Lytechinus pictus: one gene and its partners. The protein of the gene in region 1 purifies or fractionates together with the protein of each later gene. This does not show direct contact. Links are inferred from orthologs where the notes say so. Each region holds a gene or a part of one and is shown in the gene's direction. Other genes may lie near its edges.

Evidence for each region. Proteins that work in one complex are often made in the same cells at the same time.
Region 2: the proteins of unconventional prefoldin RPB5 interactor-like (region 1) and DNA-directed RNA polymerase III subunit RPC4-like purify together in Homo sapiens (affinity purification with mass spectrometry; 3 studies listed by BioGRID and IntAct, with this or other methods). This does not show direct contact. The link is inferred for Lytechinus pictus from reciprocal best matches to the Homo sapiens genes URI1 and POLR3D.
Region 3: the proteins of unconventional prefoldin RPB5 interactor-like (region 1) and GPN-loop GTPase 3-like purify together in Homo sapiens (affinity purification with mass spectrometry; 3 studies listed by BioGRID and IntAct, with this or other methods). This does not show direct contact. The link is inferred for Lytechinus pictus from reciprocal best matches to the Homo sapiens genes URI1 and GPN3.
Region 4: the proteins of unconventional prefoldin RPB5 interactor-like (region 1) and DNA-directed RNA polymerases I and III subunit RPAC1-like purify together in Homo sapiens (affinity purification with mass spectrometry; 4 studies listed by BioGRID and IntAct, with this or other methods). This does not show direct contact. The link is inferred for Lytechinus pictus from reciprocal best matches to the Homo sapiens genes URI1 and POLR1C.

The regions. Positions count from the first base shown.
Region 1 is NC_087246.1:39,025,347-39,033,260, forward strand, and holds the start of unconventional prefoldin RPB5 interactor-like, read left to right. Parts: upstream 1-4,910; 5' UTR 4,911-6,541; coding exon 6,542-6,763; intron 6,764-7,196; coding exon 7,197-7,332; intron 7,333-7,875; coding exon 7,876-7,914. UniProt on the Homo sapiens protein: Involved in gene transcription regulation. Acts as a transcriptional repressor in concert with the corepressor UXT to regulate androgen receptor (AR) transcription.
Region 2 is NC_087247.1:56,498,629-56,506,156, reverse strand, and holds the start of DNA-directed RNA polymerase III subunit RPC4-like, read left to right. Parts: upstream 1-4,513; 5' UTR 4,514-4,559; coding exon 4,560-4,703; intron 4,704-5,195; coding exon 5,196-5,245; intron 5,246-7,528. UniProt on the Homo sapiens protein: DNA-dependent RNA polymerase catalyzes the transcription of DNA into RNA using the four ribonucleoside triphosphates as substrates.
Region 3 is NC_087246.1:16,028,197-16,035,707, forward strand, and holds the start of GPN-loop GTPase 3-like, read left to right. Parts: upstream 1-4,496; 5' UTR 4,497-4,603; intron 4,604-4,714; exon of another isoform or gene 4,715-4,849; intron 4,850-6,424; 5' UTR 6,425-6,437; coding exon 6,438-6,485; intron 6,486-7,343; coding exon 7,344-7,452; intron 7,453-7,511. UniProt on the Homo sapiens protein: Small GTPase required for proper localization of RNA polymerase II (RNAPII). May act at an RNAP assembly step prior to nuclear import.
Region 4 is NC_087251.1:7,256,251-7,263,217, reverse strand, and holds the start of DNA-directed RNA polymerases I and III subunit RPAC1-like, read left to right. Parts: upstream 1-3,952; 5' UTR 3,953-4,095; intron 4,096-6,967. Other genes in the region: AP-2 complex subunit sigma, read right to left, coding at 957-1,061. UniProt on the Homo sapiens protein: DNA-dependent RNA polymerase catalyzes the transcription of DNA into RNA using the four ribonucleoside triphosphates as substrates.

The DNA.
Region 1 (7,914 bases):
GAATGTTTTATTTTCAAGTCCTTGTATCATCAGGATTTTCAGCTCGGGCAGCTCTATCGCATTTTGATTACTATCCTGTTGATTTATTTATTTGAACAAAATATTTAAAATGTCCAGCTTTTAGAACAGATATCAAAAAAAGGTATTCACCTTTGATCATAGATGAGGAAGAAGAAAAAGGGCAAAAAAATAGGAAACAAACTAACGAATTAATGTGACACAATTTTTCTTCATTTCAAGGCGACTCTTTACATTTCATCATCGCTGATGGCACTACAATCGAAAATACCACTTGACAGCAAAAAAAAAAAAAAAAAAAAAACAGAAACAGGAAAATAATGCTGAGCATCTAAAATGCAGCTAGCAGTACAAGCTGCAGATCGTAAACAAACGTCTTGTGAATAATATTAAAAGTTGATACCCACGATCATACTGCGGCATCTACGTGAAGATCACGAGAAAATGCTTTTATTTTATTAAAAAACACACCAAAGAGAAGTCAAGAAACGATCCATATGGTTCGGTAAGTGTCATACATGTAGCACAATTAGAAACATTATTTAAATGGAATGGCATAGTTATTTTAGTAAAAAGTGTGTGAAAGATTCGCGTGCACCATGTGCATATGAATCCTTCGCACGCGAGATGCATTGATCCCATGAGTGGGCACAGACTGGAACCTCAAAAAAACGAAAAGTTCTCTCCTTCTACCCCCGTTTCGATCGGCCATTTTTGTTAAAAATCGTAACAAAATGGCCGATCGAGACTGGGGTAGAGGAGAGAACTTTTCGTTTTTTTGAGGTTCCAGTCTGTGCCCAGATGTCAGGAAACTGCCACTCGTTAGACCTTCATCCATATAATCGTGGTAATTGTATACTTTCTGTTTTCACAATTCATTTGGAGAAATATTTAGACCATAAATCACCCTAGTCCGGTGACAATGGCCAAATACACGGTAAGCCCCTGGGCTCCCGCCCACTGCGCGGGCGGGAGCTCCCTAGATGCTAGATTAAAAAGTGCTAAAATGTCCTGCTTCAACCACTGAACTAGAAATACGTGGAAGTCGTGTACACCCAAGCAAAACATCGCCGGCGGCGAACTCGATAAGCCACGTGACCGCCGCCAAACGCCGTAGAAGGCAAGATGCAATATGTTTTCTCTATGTATTTCTAGTTCAGTGGTTGAAGCGGGACATTTTAGCACTTTTTAATCTAGCACCGCTCATGATTTTGCCGCCCTCTATACGCGTCACGTAACTAGGTTGCAATTACAAAGGATCAAAGATGGCGATGTCAACAAGTGTAAGTAAACTCTCTTCTACTTTTATTACTTCATATAATTTATTCGTCATTTTTTAACCATTACTACGCATTTTTTGCCAAACGTTGCCAACCAATATTGTGACCCATGTACAGCAGTCGTGACCTCAGATTCTAAACATAACTAGCAGTTTGGCGCATTTTTATAGTTGCCTTTTCCCTCGGTAGGTAGGACTCTATGCATCACAATGCCAGGCGTTAGGGGAGTGACCATACGTACAGTATATACTTTCACTCCCCAGACGCCTCCAGGCTACGTTTCTGGGGATTTCCTTAACAATTCTGACATTTCACCATAATCCCCATGTCGAGATCACTAATGCTATGGAGATCCTCCCATTGGCAATGCGACCAAGATCTATGATGTCACAGATGAACAACTCTCCCCAGTTTTGGACACTGAAAATATACCCCAAAACATCTCTTTTTGCTCATTCTAATCATATGACAAACGATTCATCAATGATGTAATGTTGTGAAACCTCTGTACTTGTCCTCTCATAAAGAGAACACCTCACCTTGTGATAGACTCTATAAAAGTGAGAATATAAGTGAAATAAGTACTAAAGTAATGAGGGAGTTGTACGTGTGTGACATCACAGATCTTGGTCGCATAATCGCATTGCCAATTGGAGGATCTACATGGCATTAGTGATCTCGACATTCAAATGCTCATAACTTTCTTATTATTCATTCAATCTTCCTCAAACTTTCAACAATATGTTTCTTTGATTTTTCTCTTTGATATGGATTCAGCTGGTTTCAAGGGTTTCATTCTCCTTTAAAGATTGTAATATCCATGTGGATACTGTCAAAGCAGAGCTGCAGAGGCAAGTTCTTTCTCGGATCTGCTCCAGTCTCTTTTTGTGTACACAACTGGTTGATTTTAGTACACTTATTCATGGTCATACCCTTGACTTGATTTATCGACAGGTAGATGAAATTATAATCGGCAAACCTTGGACACACTTTTGTGCGATCATATTCCTGTTATGTGTACTCTTTAATTCCTACAAACCTCCACTTCTAAAGTAATTTCATTCCGTAGGCTTGGAGTAATAGATATTTTTACGAAGAAGCTTGATATAGCCGATAATAATCTTTGCAAACATACAGCTTGTGATCTTTAAGAATTCGCCTCATTATATGATACATTACACTAAATAGTATCTTAGATAAACATGCATGCAGAACATGTAATATAGTTGTTCTGTGACCCCAATTGCCTTTATTCACTGATAATGTAAGGATCGCAAAAATACAGAAAAGGAATGTTGAAAAGCATCGGTTAAAACTTAAACTCTAGGATGGAGAGCGATTGGAATGGGTATAAGTCACTTCACAAACACATGTTGCATACATGTATGTTACATGAGCTTGAAGAATCCATCACAATGGTTTAGTTATGGAAAACAAAGGTGATCATAAGCAGTTTTGAGTTGTGAAGTCTCTGTTGAATATTGCAAATAAGCAATCTGTTACATCATGCATCACTAGTAACAAACAGTGCTTTGTGAATGATTTAGGCAATTTTTTTCATAAGAAAGTCATGCAGATCCACGAAAACCTGACTTTATGAAATTTACTCTTCTTTCAGAGCAAGGAAAAAAAAGGATTTCCAACCAAGTTAAAAAACCTATAACCAAGTTCAGTAAAAAGTCTTGTGCATCAGACCCAATGCCCACAAAGATTCTTCTACAGCGTATTGACACACTGATTCCCACCATCACATTTCTAATTAATCTTGAATTGTCATCTGGTCATTTCCCTTCACTCTGGAAAACTGCTCTACAGTGCGTCCCAAAAAAAACTATACACTTTTGAAATGGCTGCCAAATAAAAAATGTAGCACTTTGGGGGAAAAGACTTACATATATGGAAAGCCAATAAAGTCAACTTTCAAATGACACCAAAAAGTTGGAAAACTATTCATGCTTGAGCGAGCACTGCCCACTGAAACAAAGGGTATGAAAATTAGGGTGGGCTGGAATTAGCCTTCCGATTTATGTAAGTTTTTGAGAGGCAAATCCTTTCGAACTTGCAAAGTTAAGGGCGATGTGATAAATTAATGATCAACCATGACCAGTTTTGGTTGCTTAAGCAAATTTTAAGTAAATTATTAAATTGAACTTTAATGCATGAGTGAACACAAGTTACAACTTTTGGGGAGCATTTAAACTTTATCATTTGGATCTCTTTTTGGGCAGCATTTCAAATTTATCATGTGGATCTCAGCAATGTGTTCATGGGCGTCGGGAGAATAGGGGGTGAGATAGGACTTAAGTCAGAGAAGTAGGTTGATGGAATAAGGGTCAACAGAACATTCAGCCCCCGCCCCTCCCTCTCTCCCGCCCTCCCTCCTGTTGAGAGACTGATGGCTATTGTCATGTACGCGTGAAGTCCAGAGCAGAATGTTGATTTAATGATTAATTCTGAATTGGGACATCAACTTTTTCCTATCAATCATTTAATCAACAATTTATCAGTAAATCAACTTATTCAATGTGCAATGTGATCAATCAAACATTCAGTTTTTTTTCAATTAATTATTTCATTAATCATCATAATCATTAAATTTCTTGGTAATCATTGAAAAAAAAACTGACCATCAGCCACCGGTCACTTGGCAGTTAAGTTTTGAATAGGCTACAAATGATGCAGGAAGTGAGACAGAGAGAGGGGGGCTGGGAAATGGAGGTGGAGAGGGGAGGGTACATATGACTTTTAATTTGTAAAAGGAAAAAAAAGAAGAGGAATGCCCTTTTAACCAAGTCTTAGCATATCTCGCCCTCTTGCTTGTAACGGGTACCATCACATTACTCTGACTCTCACGAACACACTGCTGAGGTTCACAAGATAAATATGCAACAATAAAATTACAATTCCTGTTCACTCATGCATTAAATTTCAATTTAGTAACTCATGAAATTTGCCTAAGAAACCAAAACTTATCTCACTCATTAATTTAGCTTAACAAGTTCCAAAGGACTAACCACTCAAAAAAACTGTAAGGCTAATTCCTGCCCATCCTACTTTAGCTGAGCATATTAGTCTCTCAGGGGGAGATAAGCGGGGGGGGGGGGGGGGGGGTGAGATTGAGAGAGGGGTTGCTAAATGTTCTGTTGACCTTTATCCCACCAACGTACTTCACCTACCTAAGTCATATTACCCCCTCTTCTCCTGACTGTCGTGAACACATTGTTGAGACCCACATGATAAGACAAAATGCTGCACCCAATTCATGATCACTCATGCATTAAATTTCGATTTAATAACGCATTAAATTTTCACAAACAACAAACTGATCACAACTGATCTTTAATTCACCAAATAACCATCAACTTTGCAAGTACCAAACAAAAAAAACTGAAAGAAATTGGAAGGCTAATTCCAGCCCACCCTAATTTTCATACCCTTTGTTTCAGTGGGCAGTGCTCGCTCAAGCATGAATAGTTTTCCAACTTTTTGGTGTCATTTGAAAGTTGACTTTATAGGCTTTCCATATCTATAAGTCTTTTCCCCCAAAGTGGTACATTTTTTTATTTGGCAGCCATTTCAAAAGTGTATAGTTTTTTTTGGGACGCACTGTAGTTCAACTATTATTGAATAAACCTGGTTTGGAAGAAAAAAATTGTAATCATCAGCCTGTTAGTAATCTGAGGTATGTATCAAAGCTTGTAGAAGGTGCTGTATATACGCAAATAATGAATCATCTCGACTGCAACTACCTTGTTCCAAGTAATAAGTCAGTCTACAGGCAGTATCACAGTACTGAACGACACTGTTAAGAATTATGACTCAAGAGTGATATTCTCATGGATATGGATGATAAGAAAGAAAGTCACCTTATTACTTTTATTAGACCTTAGTAGTGCATTTGATGCTATTGATCATACTAACCTATTGCATGCACTAAAGAAACACTTTGGCATAAAGGTTTGGTAATCATTTAACTGACAGATGTCAACAAATCAAAATTTATGAAACTGTTTCTGAAATTTTCTCAGTACCTTTCGGAGTCCCTCAAGGGTATTCACTCTATACACAAGTCAACTAATTACAAATATCCATAGTAAATTTAGTAAGTATCTTGCCACTGCTATGCAGATGACACACAGGTTTATTTGTCTTTCACACCAGACTTACTTGCTCAGCAGCAGAGCATCTCTCTCCTGGAAGAATGTGTTGATTACATACGTGAATGGATGCTGCACAATAAACTTATGCTATTAAAAAAAATGACAGTAATACAGAATTGCTAGTTATCAGTACATCTAAACAGCTAGATTTTGACAGGATATCAGTTGGCAGTTAAGTCATAGAACCAAATTCTAATGTAAGAAATCTTGGGAGTATATTTTCACTCACAATTGACTATGGAAAAAAAATATTACAAATGTGTGTAAATCGTCATTTCGTATGATATACAAAATTGTACAAAATTACTTTAATTATGAAAGTGTGAAAACAATATTGTCCATGCATGCATTATTAGTAAGCTAGATTATTGTAACAGTTTGCTGTCTGGGCTCCCATCGTCTCACATTGGGCATCTTCAGCGAGTAAAGAACACATGTGCACGACTGATTTGTTGTCAACTTAGATTTTCCAGGATCATCCCTATCGTAAAAGATTTGCACTGGCTTCCAGTTCGCCAACGAATATCTTTCAAGATTTTGTTAATTGTATACAAGGAACTAATTAGCCAAGCCCCCAACTATATTTCTGAGCTTTTACGACGCAAAGTTCACAGGTCTATACACACTCATAACCTGTGCAGTTCTCACGATAATTTGCTCCTTCTCATCCCCACTCGTAACACAAAGATAACTGTGGGAGATCGTGCATTCGTCTGGGATTTGAACCCACGACCCTCTGTTTCAAAGTCCGAAGACTAATCCACTGGGCCACAACGCTCCACGCTTATTTTTTGTCTTTTGATTACACTAGAATTTAATGGTTGTAATCTTCAATTTCATTCTCTGTAATATTACTTAACACTTTGTATGAAAAATTGACAAAACTTTGCTTGTTTAACTTTTCCAAATGGCTGCTTAAAATCGATTGTCTGGGTATAGATAGTATTTCTTTATTCTTCCTCAGTAACAACTTGCAAATACGATTGTACACTACATTTTGTTTTGCCAGAACTTTAGAGAGTAGAAAAATTTGGTGACCAGGAGAAGCACAGCTAGGTCTCTCAGAAGAATACATTCTAGAGTATGAGATTAGAAATTTATTATTTATTTGGTTGTTATCATGCAGGTTGTATAATGGCGAGAGGAGGTGATCTTGCTCATATTGGTCGCCTGAAGGAAGAAGAAGAGAAAGCCTTGTTTGAGACTAAAGACAAATTACAGCAATGGCAAAAGTTTGATGAAGACTATTCAGCTCTCAAGGCCAGACTGACAACGTTACCTGAAAAAGTTTCACATGAAGTTATGGTAAGAAATCAAATATACACTAGTAAATACATTTTTTTATAATCAATCTTTGTTTGTTTTTCATTTTTTCTGTTTTCCTGATAGTATTCATTCTTTGAAAGTTAATATGAAGTTTGTAATAAGTTTGAGGCCACAAAATTTATCCTGTAACTAATTTTGTGACACAGATCTATGCTGGCGTGGCTTATGTGTTGAATCCATTCCCACCTCACCACCAAATAAATTTGAGATTTGAACTTTTGTTGACAAGTGAATAAAAATTGTTTTATTTTCTAGCCTCAGGTGCAAATTCATTCAAGTATTATTGTTTCCTCCTCCTGACTTTCTCTTTATCATCTCTCTGTTTTTTTTTTCTTGTCCATATATCTGTTTTTTTTACTTCCCCCTTACACTTCCATCTCTTTCTGTCTTTTACCGTGTTGTCTTTCTACAGGTTCCCTTTGGCAAGTTAGCCTTCATGCCTGGTCAGTTGATCCATACCAATGAGATACTCGTTCTCCTTGGTGATAACTGGTTTGCAGAGCGTTCAGCCACACAAGCCTGTCAGATCATCGATAGGAGGAAATCATGTGAGTAGATAAGCGGGTCTTGTCCAAAGGTCTGATTTAGAGTGAAGGTTTGAGAGACTTCTCTGTGACCATCCACATTTCAAAGGTGGAGGGGAGTTCCCCTGCTCTCCAATAACAATGTGAATTCAGGTTAATGATATGCATTAACCTTTTTTCCATTTCATAGCCTTATTTCATATAAGAGTTTTGCTGGTAGTAATATTACTGGTAGTAAAGAGTCACAGGAGATGAAATAGTGAGATGACTTCTTTAGCACAGTGATAAACGACTAGAAATTTGTTTTTGCATACTGGAAAATATATATATTTGGGGGGGGGGGGCTATTTTTCACAACCAATTGCTCAAATCTGCAACATTGAATAAGTTTTAATAACGTTGCAGTGAATGGGGAATTTCTGGGGCTTTTTCAGGGCTCTTGAGCATTTTGGGAGTGAAATCGCTCCCAACCACACATATTGTCCCTGCTGAACCAACCCTAGTAGCAGAAAAGTAAGACGAGACAATGAAAAAAAAAGAAATGAAAGTATTACTCTCTTTTATCAGATGTACAGAAAATGATGAATGATCTGAAGAAGCAACAGT
Region 2 (7,528 bases), on another chromosome or scaffold:
ATAATTTCAAAAATTGAAATGTGGTTACAAAAGAGTTTTTCTTTTAATATGTTCTATTGAGACATATTTGATATGACTGTAAAGGAAATTTGCCATTTCAACATTTTTTTTCTTATTTTTCATGATTTCATGAATTTCTTATGTATTTCTATTGATTTTAATTTTTTTCATATATTTGCAATTTTTTCTGCTTCAATTATTTTCATTAATCAATATCTTAAGAAACTAAAGAAATGAGAAAAGGTGAATAAATCACTTTTTTTAGCACTCTTGAAATTTATTTTGCCCCATCGACTTTGTACACAAAATTGATTCCCCATTGACATTGTGTACAAATGTCCCGTATGTAACATTTTTGTAACAATTATTTAAAAAGTGAAATATATTTTGTAAACTTTTTGTATTATATCATTTTCGAACTCAGTAAATTAGAACTTCCTACAGACACAACAATACAGGTATTGTATTCTAAGAAATTCAACTAACTTAAAAAAAACGTCCTCAAAATGTTACGTATGAGACTTTCCATCCTTTGACTAGACCTAATTTGCATATAAAAATTAGGTGACACCACTATTTTCCCCAAAAAAGTAATAATATGTTGGGATGGGGAGGGGGTCCATGTCCCATCTATGATTAAATCTCACAAGTTTTGTTTTGATTCTTTATGAGTTTTTATAATTGTACAACCATAAGTAACGCCCATTTTACCAATTATGTAAATTAGGGGCCCCAAATTTGCCTAATGAAAAAATTTTCTTAATAAAATTTAAAAATTCAATATTTGGGCTTCTTTATCCAACCAAACATAACTTCTTGAAATAGAGATGAAATTTAGTCTCCAAAGCCAAAGGTGACCTTTTCTTGGACTTGCCCTTTATAGACGGGTCAATATATGGTTTGACGCGGAACAAATTGCAACAAATGATTTTTCAACTGTTTCTGGCAGTATTTGACCTCAGGAAAAACATACAAAAAATCTACCAAAATCTGCATCCGGGAAAGTGGTTATTTTCAAGATGGCGTCCAAGATGGCCACCATTCACTAAAAATTGATATAACTCACTCATTATCCACCCTAGAATCCTATTTGGGTTCATATTCCAAGGTCCAATGGGTAAACAATTTCATTTATACAAGTTAGAGTGAATATTAGCACTCCAGGGTACCAGGAAACTCCAAGATGGCGCCCAAAATGGCTGCCGTATTCTAAAAACCCCACAATCCATCTATTACTTAAGTGGCTTTAATTTGGGTTCAATTCGATTGTTTTAATGATGAAGTAGTTTATCGGGACAAGTTACAAGGACAGCCAGTGGTCTGGTGTGTCCAAAAATACAAAATGGCTTCCAAAAATTGAGTTTAAAATGGCTGTTCATCCTTAAAATGGGCATAGCTCATATCACATCTACCTGAGAGATATGATTTTTGTGCCTATACCATGGTTAAATGGGTCAAATAATAAATTGGGATAAGTTACAAGGACGATGGGTGGTCAAGTATGTCCAAAAGTCCACGGTGGCTTAAAAAATAGTATCAATTAGCTGCGATGGTATCTAAAAATGGACATAGTTCATGTTATATTCGTCAAGGGCATATGATTTTGTTGCCTATATCATGGTTTCAAAAGGAAGAAAATTAGCTACAAGGAAAGTCAGTGGTCCAGTATTTCGAAAATCTAAGAAAGCTTCCAAAAACCGGAGTCTAAAATGACTGCTGTTAATTTTAGAATGGACATTTAAATCCACCAAGGAGATATGATTTCGATGTCCACTATGGTTTCATGGTTAAAACAATACGTTTGGACTTGTTACATTGATATGCAGTTGTCCAGTTTGCCTAAAACACAAGAGGGTTTTTAAAAAAGGAATCTAAAACGACTCATATTTAATTGTGGTCAGAGTTCTACAATATTCATCTGTGAGAAAAAATGTTGGTGTCCAAATTGTGGTATGAAGGGTCAAATAATACAATCGGACAAGTAACAAGGATGGTTAGTACTCAATTTTGTCAAAGAATCCAGGACGGATTCTAAAATTTCATCAAAATTGGTGCTGTTACCAACTCATGAAACAATAATAACTTGTCCCCATGCATTTAAGTGTAAGAACCAAGATTATTTCTAACAGGTAGATAATTTACCTAACAGTAGTCACTTTAGAACCCCTTTTTTAAGCCAACTTGGATTTGGAGGCAAAATGGATAGCTGCATATCATGATAACCAGTCCCAAAGTATTGTTTGGCGCTTGAAATCCTAGTGTAGACACCAAAATAATATCCCCAAGGTGTATTTATAATGTTCTACATCCACTTTTAAGTAACAGCAGGCATTTAAGACCCCCATTTTAAAGGCCATCTTCGATTTTTGGATATACTTGACACCTGACTGTTTTTTCAACTTAACCCAATGTATTGCTTGACCATGTAAACCCTAGTATAGACAGCAAAATCATACCTCCAAGCCCAAGGTGTATTTATAATAAACTATGCATACTTTTAAGTAGCAACAGTCAATTTACACCCCATTTTTTAAAAGTAATCTTGGATTTTTTAACATACAGACAACTGACTGGTCTTGAAACTTACCCTAGTGTATTACTTGACATTTTTAAACCATGGTTGAACACCAAACTCATATCCCTAGACAGATATTAAACAAACTATATCCTTTTATAAGTAACATCATACATTTTTTTACTCCATTTTTGGAAGCCATCTTGTAATTTTGGACATACTAGACCACTGACTGCCATTGTCTTGTCCTAATATATAATTTGACCTTTGAAACCATAGTTTAGACACCAAAATCATATCTCACAGGCGGATTTAAAATGAGCTATGCCACTTTTAAGTATCAACAGCCATTTTAAAATCAGGTTTTATTTATTATTTATCTATTTATTGGTATATGCACATATATTTACCAGCAGCAGGGCTGAAAGGGTCAATTTACAATAATAATACAAAGTACAAAATAACATAAGTTACAGTAAGTATAATTTTGGCCAAATGATTGAATGGCATTGAAAGCCATATTGGATTTTTGGTCATACCAGACCACTGACTGGCCTTAAAACCTGTCTTATTATTATTTTGGCCCTTAGACCAGTGGTTTAGACACCAAAATCGCATCTCCCAGGCCGATATGAAATAAGCTATGTCCGCTTTAAGTAGCAGCAGTCAATTTAGTATCAATTTTTGGAAGCCAACTTCGATTTTTTGGACATGCCAGACCATTGACTGTCCTTGTAACTTATCCTAATATATTATTTGACCCTTGAAACCAGTGGTTTAGACATCAAAATCACATATCCCAGGCCAAAATGAAATGAGCTTTGTCCGCTTTAAGTATTAGCAGCCATTTCAGAATCAATTTTTGGAATCTATCGGGGATTTTTGCACATACCATACCACTGACTTTCCTTGAAACTTGTCCCAATGTATTATTTGACCCATTTAACCATGGTATAGACACACAAATCATATTTCTGGACATTGAGCAAACTATGTCGGGTTTTTTTAAGTAGCAACAGCAATTTCGACTCCATTTTTGGAAGCCATCTTGGATTTTTGAACACATTGGACCAATGACTGTCCTTGTAAATTGTCCCAATGTCTTATTTGACCATTGAAATCGTGGTCTAGACACCAAAAGCAGTATGTCCCAGGCGGATATGAAATGAACTATGTCCATTTTAATTATCAACAGCCATTTTAAACTCCATTTTTGGAAGCCATCTTGGATTTTTGGACACACCAGACCACTGGCTGTCCTTGTAACTTGTTTCAATGTACTATTTTACCCTTAAACCATTGAATAAAAAACAAATTTAGATGAATTGTGGATTTTCAGCCTACGGCAGCCATTTTGGGTGCCATCTTGGATTTGCCTGGTACACTGGAGGGATTATAATTCATTCTAGCCTAAATCAATTTTTTTTACCCCCAGACCATGGAATATGAACCGAATTAGGATTCTTGGGTGGATAATGTGTCAGTTGTATCCATTTTCAGTGAATGGCGGTCATCTTGGACGCCATCTTGAAAATAACCACTTTCCCGTATGCGGATTTTGGTAGATTTTTAGTATGTTATTCCTGAGGTCAAATAGTACAAAATACCGTTGAAAAATCATTTGTTGCAATTTGTTCCGGGTCAGGCTATTTTTGGTTGTATATTTACCCGTCTATTAATGGATAAGTTAGATCAGGTTTAATGTATAATTTGTATAATTTAGTAATTCAATATTCGTACAGTGTATACAGAGTCTCAAGACTATTAGGAAAGTACTTGTTTTGCTACTGAGTAACATAATTAATGCTGTGGTTTGAATGTATTGAGCTGAGTGGTCAGTTAGTGTGTTCTCATTCAAGTGTGCCTATATTACAAGACTATACAGCTCAGAATGCTGCATTATCCTGGCCAGATATGAGTAGTTGAGGACTTGTGGTGGCGCAATTATTTCCTTCCTTTTTTAAGACTAACATTATCATTTGGATTCTCTTTACTTTTAGCAGAGCACCTTACCATTTTCCAGGATTAAAAGCAGATAGAAGTCATGGCTGAAAAACCATCTCAAGGTCAAGGATCACCTGGTAGTATCCCTCGTGGGCTTATCAATAGACGAGGGAGTGTTATTAAACCCAGTGAAAGATTGCCTTCGCTACGCACTCGTGACCTAACTCTAGGAGGCATACCAAAGGTAATTATAGCCATTTTGATGTTAACACTTGGTATTTACTGCTTTTATCTAGTACATAAAGGTCACTGTATGGTTGGGTCGTTCGTCTATCCATTGCAAATCTTGTAGATCAAATAAAACTACTTCCTCTATTTTCACCTATGTTTATTAGACTTCACATGCAAATTGATCTTTGAGAGATCGAATGGGTCAGAAATTGTTGCTCTGGTGATGATATATTCAATTAGTGATATTTCTAGTTGTCCTAGTGACAAATTAATTTCTAATCTATCTTTTGCTTTCTCAATGGTGTGCTACCAAAAATTGAATTTTGTATATTTAAATGATCCAAGAGGAGAGGGATAATTGAGCAGTGAAATAATGTTTTATGTGTAGCAGTCTATAGAATAAAGAAAACTACATGTTGAATATTAGAAAGAAGTTCTATAAAATTTGAATGTAGTCCTGATAAGATTGTAAGTTTATATGTTTTGTTGTTTTCTTTGTCTGCAGAAATCTTTTAAGCCCAATATACCAGTAAGAAGAGAAAAAAACAAAGATGAGTAAGTATTATTCTTTTTTTTTTCTTTGTATATCAGACTTGTCAGTGTCAGCATTCCAGAAAAACATAAAACATGATTACCAGTACTAAACCATGAAAAGAATGAATTATACATTGCTATCAGAAAAGGCTGATCTTTGTAGATGCTTAATCAGTGGCGTACTGTGGGTCACGTCATTGGGGGGCACCAGCAAAAATTTTGAGTCACTTATACCGTGTTTACAAGTGCATCGGCTTTTGGTTTATCTTGCACCGCGTTTGTAACAGCTCACGGTGCAGAATCTGCTCGAGTAGCAAAAACCTGAAATGATCCACGCACCAACAATATACGTCATAATAAAGACAACGCTGGATCCGTGGGCTTCCAAGTACGTCATAATGGTAAAGTAAATGAAATGCACGCCAATTGCTTATGCAGAATTGGCTTTCTATTTACACGTAGAAAAAAAGCCGATTCTGTATAGGCTCGCGGTTCTGAACCTACTACTTTGGTGGTGCAAAATTGCTGATTCTGCACTGAGAGCCGATGCAAGTTAATCGCGTTTACACGCAACAAAAAAGCTGAATCTGCATCGGCTCGCTGTTCTGAATCGCGAGCTGATGCAGCGTGTAAATACAAATTTGGTGAGCATGCAAAGCGTGCTCAATTGCCAGGTATACTGACCTTAAATAGAGAGATTTTAAGGACTGTGCCATTAAGCGGATATATGTATCTCACTGATCAAATAATGCGAGCGCGAAGCACGAGCTAAAATTTTTTTATATTCAGACCTAAAAAAGGACATTATAAGCAAATTTTTGTGTAATAATAATACGTACCTGTCTCGCTAAACAAACAATGCGAGCGAGAAGCTTGAGCTGAAATTTTTGTATTTATTGACCCCAAACAGGGACAGTTTAAGGACTATTTTTTAAGAAGTTTAGGATATACATATCTCACCATAGTCATCTAATGCGAGTGCCAAGCGCCTTCTGATTTTGTTAGAATTACATCTAAACACATAGTCATTGTAATCGTGATTAACATACGCATCTCACTAATCAAATATAGCTAGCGCAAAGCGCGAGCTCAAAATTAAGGAAATTCAGACCTGGAGAGTGGCATTCTAAGGCTTGTTTGTAGAAATTCACTAAGACCATACTAACCAAATGATGCGAGCGCGAACCGCAATCTGAAAAACTTTGATATTTAGATCAGAAAAAAGAGATATTTTAAGCCCCCATTCCACAGAGAACAAGACCGCTGAAAGACCTATGTACCACCATGAATTCTGGTTGATCTTTCAGAGGTCTCTCAATGAACCTACAATGGTCTTTGAGGTCTTACACGAGTCCTGACCAATCTTTCAGTGGTCTTCGTGGTGTTCATGGGCTCCAAAACTTTTTGAAATGGTTCAAAACAGTCTTAAAACGGTCTTACAGGAAAATGGCATTTCAGTGGTCTTTCAGCAGTCTTCCAGCAGTCTTTCGATGAACTTTCAAAGGTCTTAATAGTCTTTCAATGATCTTTCGGCAGTCTCTCAAGATTTTTGCGGAGATCACTGTAAGATTCATGAGAGATCATTAAAAGATCATTGAAAGACCAGGCAAAGTCCATTGAAAAAATTCAGAAAGATCACTTGTTGCATAAAAGATCTCTGAAAGACCATTGAAAGATCTCTATGGGACTAGTCTAAGACCAGTAAGACAAGAAATATCCATGAGTCTTTCAGAGTTCTTTGAGGGGTCTTTCTTAGCCATTCCACAGAGAAGACAAATTTCAGTGATCTTGAAGACCGCTGGAAGACCTCACCAATTTCAAGTTTTTCAGTGGTCTTTCAATGGTCTCCGTTCTGTGGAATGTGGGCCTTAACAACTGATTTTAGGAATTCATGAAGAGCAGACATATCTCACCAATCCACTAATGCGAACGTAAGCACGGACAGGGAATGTTTTATATGCAGACCTTAAAATGTGGCAATCAATTTAAGTAGTCATGAAAAAGAAGGATATGTCACTATATAAAACAATTAAATAATAACTCGAAGTGCGAGGAAATATATTTGGTGTATATTGACTTGAAAAAAATATGTTTTAGAATTATATATCTCGTTAAACAGACAATGCGAGACCAGGAACGATGAACACAATAGGCCCTGAGCAAAGTATGTTTCATAAAGTTATGAAAAAAAATATTTCTTATGATGTACGGTAATAACATAATATATACAGTATAATAATAATATAACATTATAATGTACAATATTTTCTTCATTCCCATTACGTTTCTCTTCCCTATTCTCTT
Region 3 (7,511 bases), about 23 Mb from region 1:
TTAACATCTTAGTTTTGTTTGTCTTGTTTTTTTTTGCTGAATGTTTTTTAACACGTTTTTTACCTTACTTAATTTCTTTTAAAGAAATTTGTTGTTTATCTTTAATGAGAAAGCATGAGGGGTCGGCTAAAGAGATGTAGTGCCGCCCATTTTAAGTATTTCATGTTTATTTTTTTAATAGAAAAGGGGTGGGGATAAGACGGAGGGAGAATAGAAGAAAACATATTTTAAAAAATATTTGGCCCTATACATTACCCCCGGGAATAATACATGTACCCCGGAGAAGTTAAAATGACATCCGTTTTTTGCCGTGCAAAAAGACGACCTGAAATTGATGACAACTAGCCCCCATATAAAAAATAACTTGGCGCCATCCCAGATCAAATGCATCAGAGTGCAACCAAAAAAATGTTTAGAGGTGATATGTCAGTGTGGCTTGCCGTAAATGCATTTTCTCTCAATACCGACGGTGGCGGGCGGTGTGCAAAGATCATGCCTACGTAGGACATGTCTGGAGGTGTCTTTCCAAGGACCATTCTTCGTATCGCCCAAATTGGTTTTGTGAAACAGTTGAGCGATATCTCGTTCTTACGTAGAATGGTTCTACGAAAGACCCTTTCATGCAACAGGCCCCTGACATCTGGGCACAGTCTGGAACCTCAAAAAAACGAAAAGTTCTCTCCTTCTACCCAGTCTCGATCGGCCATATTGTTACGATTTTTAACAAAAATGGCCGATCGAGACGGGGTAGAAGGAGAGAACTTTTCGTTTTTTTCAGGTTCCAGACTGTGCCCAGATGTCAGGAATCTGCCACTCGTTAGACCTTCATCCATATAATCGTGGTAATTGTATACTTTCTGTTTTCACAATTCATTTTGAGAAATATTTAGACCATAAATCACCCTAGTCCGGTGACAATGGTAAAATACACGGTAAGCTTCTGGGCTCCCGCCCGCTGCGCGGGCGGGAGCTCTCTGCCTGGGTTATTCTTGAAGTTGAAGTTAAATTTTCAGGTGATCAGACATGCCCCTCCCCCCCCCCCCCCTTCATAGTACCAACCCAGGCCAGGGGCCCCCAAACTCCAAGGAAACTTTCTATATCTCTTTGCAAAATTTAGAGAAAATTACATGATTTAACTGTGGAACGTCCCAAGACAATTTTCACGTTAAAGTCCCTGGCGACTACGCTCATGCGCAATTTGGATACGAGAATCACGGTAATGTGTCATCGCCCGTTTACTTGCGTGCATACACATATCGCACGCATTAAAACTAATAACAGTGCCGTTTGGCAATGACTCCGGGATTTATAAAGCATCTTGGGACTTGGACATTTGAACGACATTTTGTATTTTAAAAATAGTGTATGAATGTGAGGAGAAAAATATCAAATGTCACTCGGACTTTTCTTTCTTATTTACCTGTAAGATTCACAGCGTATAACCACCGGCCTTGTGAAAAATCAAGACTCCAGACAGACCACGCATGTTTGCAAAGCAGATCGTAGATAGATGCATACGCGTTATTTTAGGCCAGGGGGCCGGGCGGGGAGGCCCAGGGGGGGGGGGGGGTGGGTGTAAATGCGTGATGGTATTTTTTACTACAAGTATTTTTTTAATGGGTTGGTCTCCTAGTACAGGTTCAACAAGTCCCTCCCCCTTTAAACTATTACTTCTGTAAAAAAAATTATCAGACAGGCGCGGTAGAGACGCGGTCGAGTTGTTTAATTATAGAAAAAAACCAAAAATATTTACATACAGTGGTACGTACATGACCTTTTTTTTTTTTTGGGGGGGGGGCTTAATGTTTTGTTTTATGTATGTGTTACCTGTAGTACCGGAGGAGACAAAGCATTGGGGGGGGGGGCACTGCATTGTCTGTGAACAATGCTGTGCCCCCCCCCCCCCCCCAATGCTTTGTCTCCTCCGAGTCACGGTCCGCCACTGTGTTCTACTATACATTTCGGCGCACCAGAATGCTTTCAGTTTTGAGCTAGGGGCCGGGGGAATCTTGAAGGGGTACAATTTTTGGACAGTGACGGACGCGAGGCTACCATAATAGTTCACTAAATTTACTTGTTAATACAATATTGTAACTTAATTATTCGGTACTGGGGCGAAAATTTTTAATTTTTAAGTTACAAAATGACAATTTTCGTGCCTATAATGCTTTTGTCTTTAATTTAATTTCTTGTTGTTATTGTTATGTTGTTGTAATGGCTGGGGGGGGGGGCAGTCCAACTCCCCCCCCCCCCGGTGGAGCTAATAATTTCCCACCACAATAATAGCAGTGAAGGTCGAGGAGACCAAATTTGGTATTTCTATTATTTTAAAGTAAGTTTGGCTATTTGAATGCACAGCTAGGGTTGGCGATTTTTTTTATTTAAAAAAAATCAACAAAATCTTATTTATTTGATTTAAATCAGATTTTTTCAATCGGATTGATTTAATATTTTTTAAATATTTTTAAACAAAAATTTCTCAAACAAAGTGGAAACACCAAAAATATAATCCTTACACTAAAATCATTATCAAAATCATCCATTTCGCAAATAAGATTATTATTAACTCATATTCTATTTCATAATGATTAATATATCTAGTCAAAATAGAATTTATATAGAATATTCAAAGTCATGATGAAGATGCTGTTTTCTGCATCATCTCGTGTAAGGTATTTAGCTCCTACTGACTGATTTGGGCCTTAATTAGTACAGCCAACTGCAAAGTTAGTATTCCTATTCAAACATGAAATGTGGATCTGTTTCTTTAATTGAAAGAATTCCATGACTCAGAGACTCACATTCTCCAAAAAGAAACATACTCGATTTTCAAGCCAATTAAGGACTGAAAATCATGTATTAAAGAATACTACTTTCTTGTTCATATTTTGTTTAATGTGAGCCACGGTTGGAGTTTTTTTTTAGCATTGTAAAAAAAACTGTAGGCCTATTGAGAAAAAGTTGCAAGTTTATTTAAATTATTTCTGTTAGTACAATCAAGGAAGTGGGAGGTTTCTGGTACAATAAATCTGAAATTACTTAATTGGCAGTTAGCAGTTTTTGCTAAAAACGCCAGGTTCTACAGCTTTAAATACATGTAAAAGAATAAAATGTTATATCAATGCATGGGATAAAACCAGGGACAATATATATTTATAATCTCCATATTTTGTGAGACAATACAAAAACTATAAGTCTAGTGTACAATAATCTGAATAAAGATTTTACATAAAACACACACAAAAACAAAACAACAACGAAACAAAACAAAAAATGTGAAGGGAGAGCAGCCAAATTAAAACCAATCTACTTTATATTTTAACCATAATGGCATCATGATATATTTTGTAATATTAGATGTATTACTATAAAATCATTCCAATACCATATTATAAATCATTTTAATATGCAAAATGAGCACTATATTATAGCAAGGTAATCATATTGATGTTTTTTTAATTTCAATTGATGGATAAGGATCAGTGGGAGAAATAGTTTGAAGAAAGAAAAAAAAATCACTTAAGTGAAATTGACTCAAACAAACAACTGGGAAAATGTTCCCATTTTGTATGGTGTAGAGTCAATTTATCCTTTCTTTTTGCCTTTTCATATTCAATTTGTTTTGACCTTTTAATGGCACTGCATATTTCTTTACATGTAGGGACAGCGGCGTACCAGGATTTTCCAAAAGGGGAGGCAAATTTTTTGGAGGATATTTCGTCCGCGAAAAAATTTGACAAGAAAAAAAAAAAAGGTCTTCAACCACAAATAAAGGATTTCGTACCAGAAAAAAAATTGACAAGCAAAAAAAAATTAAAATGATATAAACCGACCCCGAAACCGATCTCCTCCTTCTTTATTCCTTTTTTCCCGTCTACCTATATAGTGTGTGGATCATTTTATTTCTTATTTGTGATCCTTATTTCTACTGGATTACCTACCGGCATGTTTGTTATTACAATTATTCTTTTTAATCATGGTTTTATAGTCTCTATCTTGATTAAACTTGTAAATGTGTAAGCCTATGTCACTGTTAACTGTTTGTTTGACCCCAAGGAATGCCAGACTGTGCCAGTCGAGCTGAATGTGGGTTAATTCTCTTCTTTCATGGCCGGGGCAGAAATGTATTATTGCCCCCTCATAATTTCATGCTAAATACAATGCCTATTTAATTTTCCGCATTTATGATATTGCTGTATACTGTAATTTTATTTGTTCTGCCAAGACCTACCTCAAAAGAGAGCTAAAAAGTAAAAAAATAAAATAAAAAAAGGGGAAAAAAGGGGGAGGGAAACCCTCAACATTCATCGGCAAAATTAGTATTTTTATAAGCCAGTAAGGGATTTTCCCTCGAAAATATTAAATCCACTCTGATTTCAATCTGCAGCTATATCATAGAGATATTAGTATATTATATATCTAATTATGAGCTATAGATTTAGCTTTCAAAAAACCTTTCTGCATTTTTAATATGCGGATCGCATATCGATCACTATGGCGTTCCATGTAAACCACATGTGTTGGTCGCTTGAATTGAGTAGCTCCGATAGTGGAAACTGGAAAACATCTGAACTTTTGTCGGCGAAGCTAAGTTTTCTTGCAAGTAAGAACATTACAATATTCGCAGTTCACTGTAATTTTTGTAGCTGATGATGATGATGTTATAATTTGGTTAAAGTGATCATTTATCAAGAGTTGAAGATGTCATTCTTACCCGGGATCTTTCCAACAAATCCCATCGCCGATGGCATCGGGGCTTCAGTGGAGCGGCCTCGGAGCGGATCGGGGTGGCAACAGTGTGCGGTACCGTATTACCGTCTCTAACCCGAAGGTGTTCAGATTATGGAGCGCCAAGTGTTTCCTTCATTCATTTATTCAACCTTTGTTTAAGCTAAACAATGTTACAAATTTTGGCCAAAATCCACCCATGAGTTCATTGCATTAACTGTGTCTGTGAAAATTGTGGGCACAAACATACAAACAAATGCATTGTGGATAAAAGTTTAAAACTACATTTTCACAAACCTCTAGCCTATCTAGGCTCTATTCTATTTGAAAAAAAAATAACAAAAAGTTAAAAGATGACTGATTTCAATTTGTACATGTTGTATGGAAACTGAAAACTTACCAAGTATGAAGACCTTCCCACATTTTTTAAATGAGTGTTTATTGTTTACTGATAATATTTCATTCTGTTTCGTAGGTGAGCTGGAAAAAGAGTCCAATGTGTATCATGTACCCTACACAAAAAACAAAACAAACAAAAGGACACTTATTCCATGAACAAGGTTATGATAGGATGTTAATTCCAGGGTAACCAGATTTCACAAAATGAAATACAGGACATTCGACAAAATAGATCAACAAAGAAGGCTTAAAAAATATTAAGAAATGGAAGGGAGGGTGAACGAAAGAATGACAGAGAGAAAGAAAAGACGAAAGAAAAGAGATAAATTGAGAAGAAAGGAAAAAAAATAAGAAAGAAAAACAGAGAAAAAAGGATTCCATCATTCTTTGAATTGAATATCTATAGAAAGAAAGGAAGGGAAGATGAATAAATGTGTGAAAGACAAAAAGGATGGAAAGAAAGTAAGAAAAAAGAAGGAAAGAAAGAATGAAGGAGAGATATGTTTCCTTCATTCTTCGAAAGAACGAAACAAACAAAAGAAGAAAAACAGGAAGGAAGGGAGGGAAAGAAAGAATAAGGGAAAAAAATAGAAGGAAAGATAAAATGAAGAATGAAAGAAAGAAGGAGGAAATCGAGGGAGGAAAGAATGAAGGGAGGAGAGAATGAAAAAAAGAAGAAGAAATATAATGGAAGGAGAGAAAGAACGAAAAGGAGAGGAAGGGAGAAGGAAACAGAAATGTTTAAGGAAAGAAAGAATGAAGGAAAAAGGAAATTTAATAAAAAAGGCAGGTAAGAGAAAGAAGGAAAGATAAAAATATGGGACGATCCCGGGAAATACGGGACGTCTGGTCACCCTGGTTAAGTCTTACGGTGTACACGGTTAAGTCTTCCGGTTTCACTCTCGAAACCTTGATTTAAAAAGTTCTGTAATTTTTTTGGGGGACTAAAACTCGCCTCAATGGAACTGCATTAAAACCAGTGTTTACTAGATCTATGCCATTGAGAGAATGCTGATAGCAGGAGTGCTTTTTAGCAATGGTGTTGGAGTGTGTAATTGAGTTTTGTCATACGTGTATCAATCAGATATGATTATTTACGCCTGGGACCAACCTTTAATGTCACCATCAGAATAACATGACCTCTGCATCAATATGTAACTTCCTCACATAGCTTGGATTACAGGCGCATTTTTTTACACATGTGACATGATCACAAGAACATCGCCAGGTAATGTTTATCATACACTATGAGACTTAACATTCATTTGCATTTTTTTTTCACATTCTGTTTTTCCAGTAACATTAACAAGATGCCGCGTTATGCTCAGATTGTGATGGGACCAGCCGGTAGTGGAAAAGTAAGTATTTGTCCACAAATCTGAAAGGATTAAGTCCACCATCAAATTAAGAAGAAAATGAAAGAAACATTTCAAGATAGGGTTGATGAAAATCTATGGTGTCACTTATAATGTGCTCTGTCATAAGCCTTACTTTATGCTTTGTACCAGGGGCAGCGCTATAATATTTTGGCGGGGACAATATGACCTGTCAACATATTTTTTCTTGATTGAATTATTGCTAGGGTCTTATGCATTTATGTATTATAGAGTTACATGGCCTAGAATTAGTTGTTACTCATCCCCCTTCTTTCTTTCCTATCCTCCATCTTCTTTTTTTCTCTCACTTCATTCCCAAAGTTTGTATAGTAGGACAGAAGGGGTGTTCTTTTGTGTACCTTGAGGAGCCGTATTATAATTGTTCATATTTGTTCCCAGCTTCATTGTGAATTATTTTACTTTTCAACTTTTCAAGCCACATAACAAATTTATATTGAGATATGCTGTCATATCAAGAAAATATAATTTGCAAAGACTGCAGTAATTTCCAGTTCTAAATCTAAGCACTGCTAGGTGATAGGGCAGGGAGTAATTTTCCTGGTATCGCATCGCAATTTGCTCTACAGTTTTGAAAGACTGCTATGCATTAAGTCTTTTGTATAGACTATTTTTACATAAGACTGTACATTACTTATTTGAGAGCTTTTCTCTTAAGACCAAAAATGCTATTCAAATTTGTAAAGCATAAATTATTCCCTGTAGGGAGCCTCCTAGATTTACTTTAATTTTGTTGTAAATCATTGAGAGCTAATCAGTGTATAATAGTGAATTACAGACATACATGTAAGTCAACATTTTGTATTTGATTTTTTATTGTAGTCAACATACTGCAGTAATCTCCAGAAACACTGTGAGACGATAGGGAGACAAGTTCATGTGGTCAACTTAGATCCTGCAGCAGAATATTTTGATTATCAGACTGTAGCAGGTAAACTTTGTGTGAAATGTGCTCATTTTTGGAGTAGAAGCCCTGTATGGTATTCTCAG
Region 4 (6,967 bases), on another chromosome or scaffold:
AATATTTAGACCATAAATCACCCTAGTCCCGTGAGTATGGTCAAATACACGGCAAGCCCCTGGGCTCCCTGGGTTAATTCGGGGGGGGGGGGGATATTGTTTTGGCCCATTTACTTTAGTTCGGGCTCAAAACGATTTATACAATCTGTGATTTAGATCTACTGTAACCGTGGGAAATCCTAGCCTCTACAGAGAGGAATGATCCCTCGGCTAGCCAGGCGGCTTCTAGCATGTCTAGAGAGTAAAAATCATTTACTAACGTAAGGTTACTCTCATACGAAGCCAGGCAGTCCTCCCCATTCATCTGCGTGTACCGCAAGAAACCCTGAAACTTTCGCCCCCGAGATTCCTACTTTCCTTCTAAAACAAGATCTAGCTCTAAATCATGTAAATGGGATAAAACTTCATTTCCGACATTTCTACGCTCTCGTTGTTATTTTTAAAACAAGAATTCATCAAAAAAATGAAAAAATATTGTGAAAAGACGGAAGAGACTTGCCCGATGTTTACGCCGCCATCTTGTTTCTTATTGTACTTAGAGCTAGATCTTTTTAGAACTTAGATTTAGAAGAAGGAAAGTAGAAATCTCGTGGGTGAAAGTTTCAGGTTTTGGCTTCCTAGCTTTGTGTGGGTCTATGAGATAGAAGGCCTGGCTTCGTATGAGAGTAACCTTACGTTAGTAAATGATTTTTACTCTCTAGAAGCCGCCTGGCTGAGTAAGCCTACATATAGTAGATGACTTTTACTCCCCAGATCCAGAAGCCTCCAGGCTAGGTAGGCTACACAAAATCGAACGTGTGGGGCCATTTAATAAAATCGGGGAAAATAAAGTTGGCAAATACTTCAACAGAGCAATCAAATTTGGACTAAAATTAATGTAAAAATAACTTTAACCGACATCAAACAAGAAACTATGTTTTGTAATGTCCAAAACTACCACAAAAGAAGACAATTACCATTATTCTTTCTGCTCTGTCAATCGGAGGGCGTCTCGGAATCAGTCCGGAAATGGAAAGGTGATTGATTACTTTGATATGGGGTACGGTACGGTTCTGTACCATGCGAAAATGATTTTTTTTTTTTAATAATCTACATTACTAGTGTCAATATTACTCCTTAGTTTGAGAATGACAAAATCGATACATTTAGTAGTTAAGCAGTCGAAGATACCTGCTATCATCAATCAAATATATAACTTTTAAATAGATGCCTATTTTGCATTGGAAGTTTTTAACCTCTAATATAATGGACTCTTCCTATCCAATTCCCAGCCTCCGAGTTCCCCCCCCCCCCCCACGGCCCCGGCCCCCTCCCCCTTTCTGGTGTACTACCGTGCGAGCCGGTGCGAGCACTAGCGAAGCCGGGAAGCTAGTTCAAGCGCTTGGCCCCGGCGCGGCCGGTGTACCGGCGGATCCTGCGCCTGGCAGATACTGTTCTAGGCACCAAATCCGCCGGCGGATATGGTTCTCCTCCGGCGGATTCAGTACCAAGAAAGGCCACTCTCTTCGGAAGATATCGTTCTTGCGATATCCTTCATTCACATACGTCACGTGGTACGAGAAAACTAGTCAAAAAGCGGTAGATTTCATCAATTAAAGCTTGCAGAAAAATATATTCATGATATCTCTATGTGATAGAAGTGAAGAAATAAAATGCGTAATCTGAAAGGGGAAAATAACCCATTTTCTTGTTACAACTCTACGGGAATTACACCACTTCTAACACTACATGACGTCACGGTCTCGGTGCGAGGCCGGTGAAAGCATATTTACAAGAAAGTATATTTTCGAAACCTGATAATTGGAGTTATTCTTAAGCAAAATATTCAGCTGTAAGCGATGACTGCATAAAACTTGCATTTCTGTTTTTAGTTTGAATTAATAGCTTTCGATTTGACTGATTTGTCAACTTTTGGGGTTTGGTCTGGGTCTTTAAATAGTCCACATTTAGTCTTCATTCAACTTTCAATGTCTACTGCACTACTAGTATACAAAGAATTTACCCCATGATATGATAATGCTTGTAGTCTAATAACATGCATTTGTTAATTTATTTTATACCTATTAATTTATTGCAGTATGAAAAGTCCTTCTTATCACAATTTTGGGGATAAATTGGGCACAATATGCATCAATTATGATTAATACAGAGTATTAAATAAAGACAAACAATGGCAGTTTCGATAATTAAAATCAGTATTTGTATAAATTTGTATAAATAATGATCACTGCAAATGAAATTCTTGAATTACGAAATTACAATGTATTATTATTATTTCCTCCACATTTTCTCGTATATTTTTTCTATTTTTCTCTCCCTCCCCTTCCTCTTTATATTTCTCATTTTTTGTGCTATATTACCCTCGCGTATACGCCCCAGATATATTCATAATGTGCAAGAACGATATAGGAAACTGGAAAAGAGGCAAAAGGGGCGAAATGAGCAGGGACAGAAAGAAAGGCAAAAAAAATAAAGAGATGAAAACCAGGAGGAGTTAAGTAAAAGAAACAAAAGATATAAAGGAGAAATTATATTTCACTAAAGATCCCATATTGATCTTAAAATTTGATGACTGAGAGGTAAATTAGGGAGCACCAAACAGTACGTGGCGTATCTAACTTTTGTCAGGGTGATCTTCCGGTCCCCTTCAATCATCATCATCATCATCATATCACCGTCACCCTCACCTTTATCATCTTCATCTTCATACTAAAAATATTGCATGAGTTGATGTTTCGTATTTAAAAATATATATGCCAATTCTGCTTTATAAATGCATAAATTAATTTAATTAGTTTTAGTTTGGGATTGTCATTTTTCTTCAAGCAATCTGCTTATGATGACAATCCTTCTCCTGCAAATTGTGAATATCATATAATAATTTGTTAGTTAATCATTTTTGTCTGGAATAATTTTTTTAGTACACTTTATTTATGATTCATGCCAAAAATGCTAACATAATATTATGTTTATTATGTTATGGAAAATGTATTATACGAATGTTCCATGGATGCAGAAAAAACAATAAATCAAATCAAATCAAATAAATTAATTCAGATTCCTTAACATTGAAAAAAAAAGAATAAAAAAAAAAACAAATTAAAAAAAATACATGAAAATTTAAAGATAGGCCTTCAATAAACTACATAAGAAATTAATCATGTTCTGACATTCCTTTTATGTTTGTTAGAAATAAAAAAATTTTGTTTTCACCAAAAATTAGCATTCTACAAGCAATAATATGAGTTAACAGCAAAAAAAATATTTTCATACACTAATTTGAATCATTTATTTGAAATATGAAAATTTTAACTTGTTGAAATTTTTCTAAAAATTTGTAGTTTCAAAAACCTATAGGCCTATATGGGGGTGCAAATTTTCGCCAAACAGTCTGGCAAACTGACACTAAACATGGTGTGAAAAAGCACAGTTAAAGAGATCGATGCATACTGCGGACTGAAAATAGTATAAAAATTCACAAAACAAAATGATGAAAATTTCATCAAAATCTTATAATAATAAATAGCATAGTTGTATGGTGTGTCAGCTAGGTCTACGTAATACATATCGAGACATTATTTCTCCTATTAATCCTCACCCCCATCGAGCCCTTTGTCAAAAGCTGTATGGATCCGCCCCTGAATAAAAATTCACTAAAGGCGGACGAAAATCCCCCCCTGCGATCGACATTGCCGAGCCGCGCATGCGCGCGCTGCCGAGGTTGTCTGTCCAAATCAATATTACACGTATAATCAATAGAACCAAATCCGCCGAGGAACCAAATCTGCAAACATCAAGCCGCGTCAAACCCGGCGGATATGGTTCCGATTAAAAACGATATCGGCCATTAAGAACGATATCTGCCGGCGGATACGGTATCCGCCGGTGGAACCAAATCCGCCGCTACACCGGCCTCAATCGGGTAGTAGACCCAGCAAGGATCCGCTGCTCTGATCTGGTGCGTATCTTCGAGCACGTGTTTCACAGATCTATGTTGTAGTCGGCCGATCATCCATCATCAGTCATATCATGGCTGCTCCTCACATTGAAGATTCCAAAACACGCGTGCGGCTGCTTGAACATGGAGTTGACAATGTAAGTAGATTTAGGGCCTAATATTGATAATAATATACTGGTAAATATTTTTATAATGAAGCCTAACGTTAGGCCATACCGGTACTAATACTATTTTTTGGATAAGATTTTTAAAAAATCATGGTATGATTTTTGTTTCTAACGACGTTACAAATACAATACATGTTCTACTAATTTTTCAGGGAGAAAGACGCGGTATTATCTATGGCGATGTATAAGACTAAGAGGATAGATATCTTCTCTTCCAACTCATGGTGATAGCGGATGCCGCCGTGAACTTTGAAAGGTCTTATATTACCGACGGAGCTCACTAGCACTGCGTTACTCTCTTACATCGTTTATGATTAGGCCTATATACATTTTATTTTCAACCTCGTGGTGATAGCGGATGCCGCCGTGAACTTTGAAAGGTCGTATTACCGACGGAGCTCACTGCGCTACTCTCTTACCCCCTTTATAATGATATAAATCTTCTCTTCAACCTCGTGGTGATAGCGGACCCCGCCATAAACTTTTAAAGACTGTATGATGGGGGGACCTAAAGCTACGCACTTTGTTTTCAAACAATAAAAACTATCCCAATTTTAATATTTCAACAAATATCTTTCACTAATTTGTGGCAAACATTCTAAAGATCATTAAAGGAGAATGAAACTCTTGGAGCAAGTTAGCTTTTGTGAAAGCAGAAAAATCAAAGAATAAGATCAACAAAACTTTGAGAAAAATAGGACTAGCAATAAAAGAGTTATGAGCATTTGAATGTCGAGATCACTAATGCTATGGAGATCCTCCCATTGGCAATGCGACCAAGATCTGTGATGTCACACACGTACAACTCTCCCATTTGGACACTGAAAATATACCCCAAAACATCTCTTTTTGCTCATTCTAATCATATATGACAAACGATTCATCAATGATATAAACATATTGTTGAAAGTTTGAGGAAGATTGAATGAATAATAAGAAAGTTATGAGCATTTGAATATTGAGATCACTAATGCCATGTAGATCCTACCATTGGCAATGCGACCAAGATCTGTGATGTCACACACGTACAACTCCCTCATTACTTTAGTACTTATTTTACCTATATTCTCACTTTATCTATCACAAGGTGAGGTGTTCTCTTTATGAGAGGACAAGTACATAGGTTTCACAACATTATATCATTGATGAATCGTTTGTCATATGATTAGAATGAGCAAAAAGAGATGTTTTGGGGTATATTTTCAGTGTCCAAAAGGAGAGAGTTGTTCATCTGTGACATCATAGATCTTGGTCGCATTGCCAATGGGAGGATCTCCATAGCATTAGTGATCTCGACATTCAAATGCTCATAACTCTTCTATTGCTAGTCCTATTTTACTCAAACTTTTGTTGATCTTATTCTTTGATTTTTCTGCTTTCACAAAAGCTAACTGGCTCCAAGGGTTTCATTCTCCTTTAAAGACTGTACTATTGACGGAGCTTATTGAGTTACTCTCTTACATCGTTTATGATGATATACATTTTATTTTCAACCTCGTGGTGATAGCGGGTGCCGCCGTGAACTTTGAAAGGTCGTATTACCGACGGAGCTCACTGCGCTACTCTCTTACCCCCTTTATGATATCTTCTCTTCAACCTCGTGGTGATAGCGGACCCCGCCGTGAACTTCAAATTGATTTGAAAACGCTAGCTACCCAAAACATTTTAATAACATATTTCAAATCATCGTGCGTGCTTGCGTCTTCTACTTCATTTTAATTGCACTTGCGACTTTAAGATGATGCGTCGTAAGAGATCATTCCAATAATTCTAAATCGCTAGCACCTAAAAATACTTCTAAAAGATGTCCCGCCGATCATTCATTAACCTGTGATCTATGAGAAATATTTTCATTTTATTTTCCTTTGCGCCTTTGCTCGGAAGATGCGTCTTTCGTTTATCTTTCTAATAAAAATCACTCGGTTTATTTTAAAGCAATAACACCTCAAAACCCCTGGCTTTAAAACATGTTCCAAATGATCGCGCATGTTGGCGACTTCCATTCCAATGCATTCGTCTTTGTGACTTTGTCAGGAAGATGCGCGCGACCGCGAACAACATTTTGATGTATTCCTTTGTTTTTAAACATCGCCGATTCGATTTTTGATTCGATTTCGATTTTAGAAGCTTAACTGCCGATCCGATTTTCGATCTGATTTTTGATCCGATTTACAACATTACCCCTCCACAAAAAACAATTTTCGTGCGCGACGAATTACATCATGATTCCGGACGAGTAAAGATATCGTTCATTAGGCCTATATTGATGTAAGAAAGAATTTGTGCGATTTTTTCTTCATATATCATGAGTAAATTCTAAGTTTTTGTTTGCTTTTTTTATATCGAATCTGAGCAGATGTTGGTAATAAATTTGTGTATTCTAACTAGAACTAATGTTATTTTTAACTGCATGTTCCATGGCACTTTCGTGATGCTCATCAAGTTCTATCAATGCGCCGTCGCTCGTCGACGGCTCCCTTGAGAACTCCGTCGACGATCACCCACAATGCACCACACCTCAACATTTGATCGAAGGAGCTGACGTGATTGAAATTTGGCAAATCAGGCCCATATTTCGGTCAGAAAATATATCAATTGTTTATGCAAAACTATGTTATATGATGATATTTTAAGCATTTTTTGTCATTTAAATGATAAATAAGGTAAAAGTTATAATTTTTTCACCATTTTTGCAATCTTGTTTTATGTATTGCTCTGAGAAATTGATAAACTTAAAATGCTAGAATTACAATTCCTGTTCACTCATGCATCAAATTTCAATTTAGTAACTCATTAAATTTGCCTAAGAAACCAAAACGTATCTCACTCATTAATTTATCAT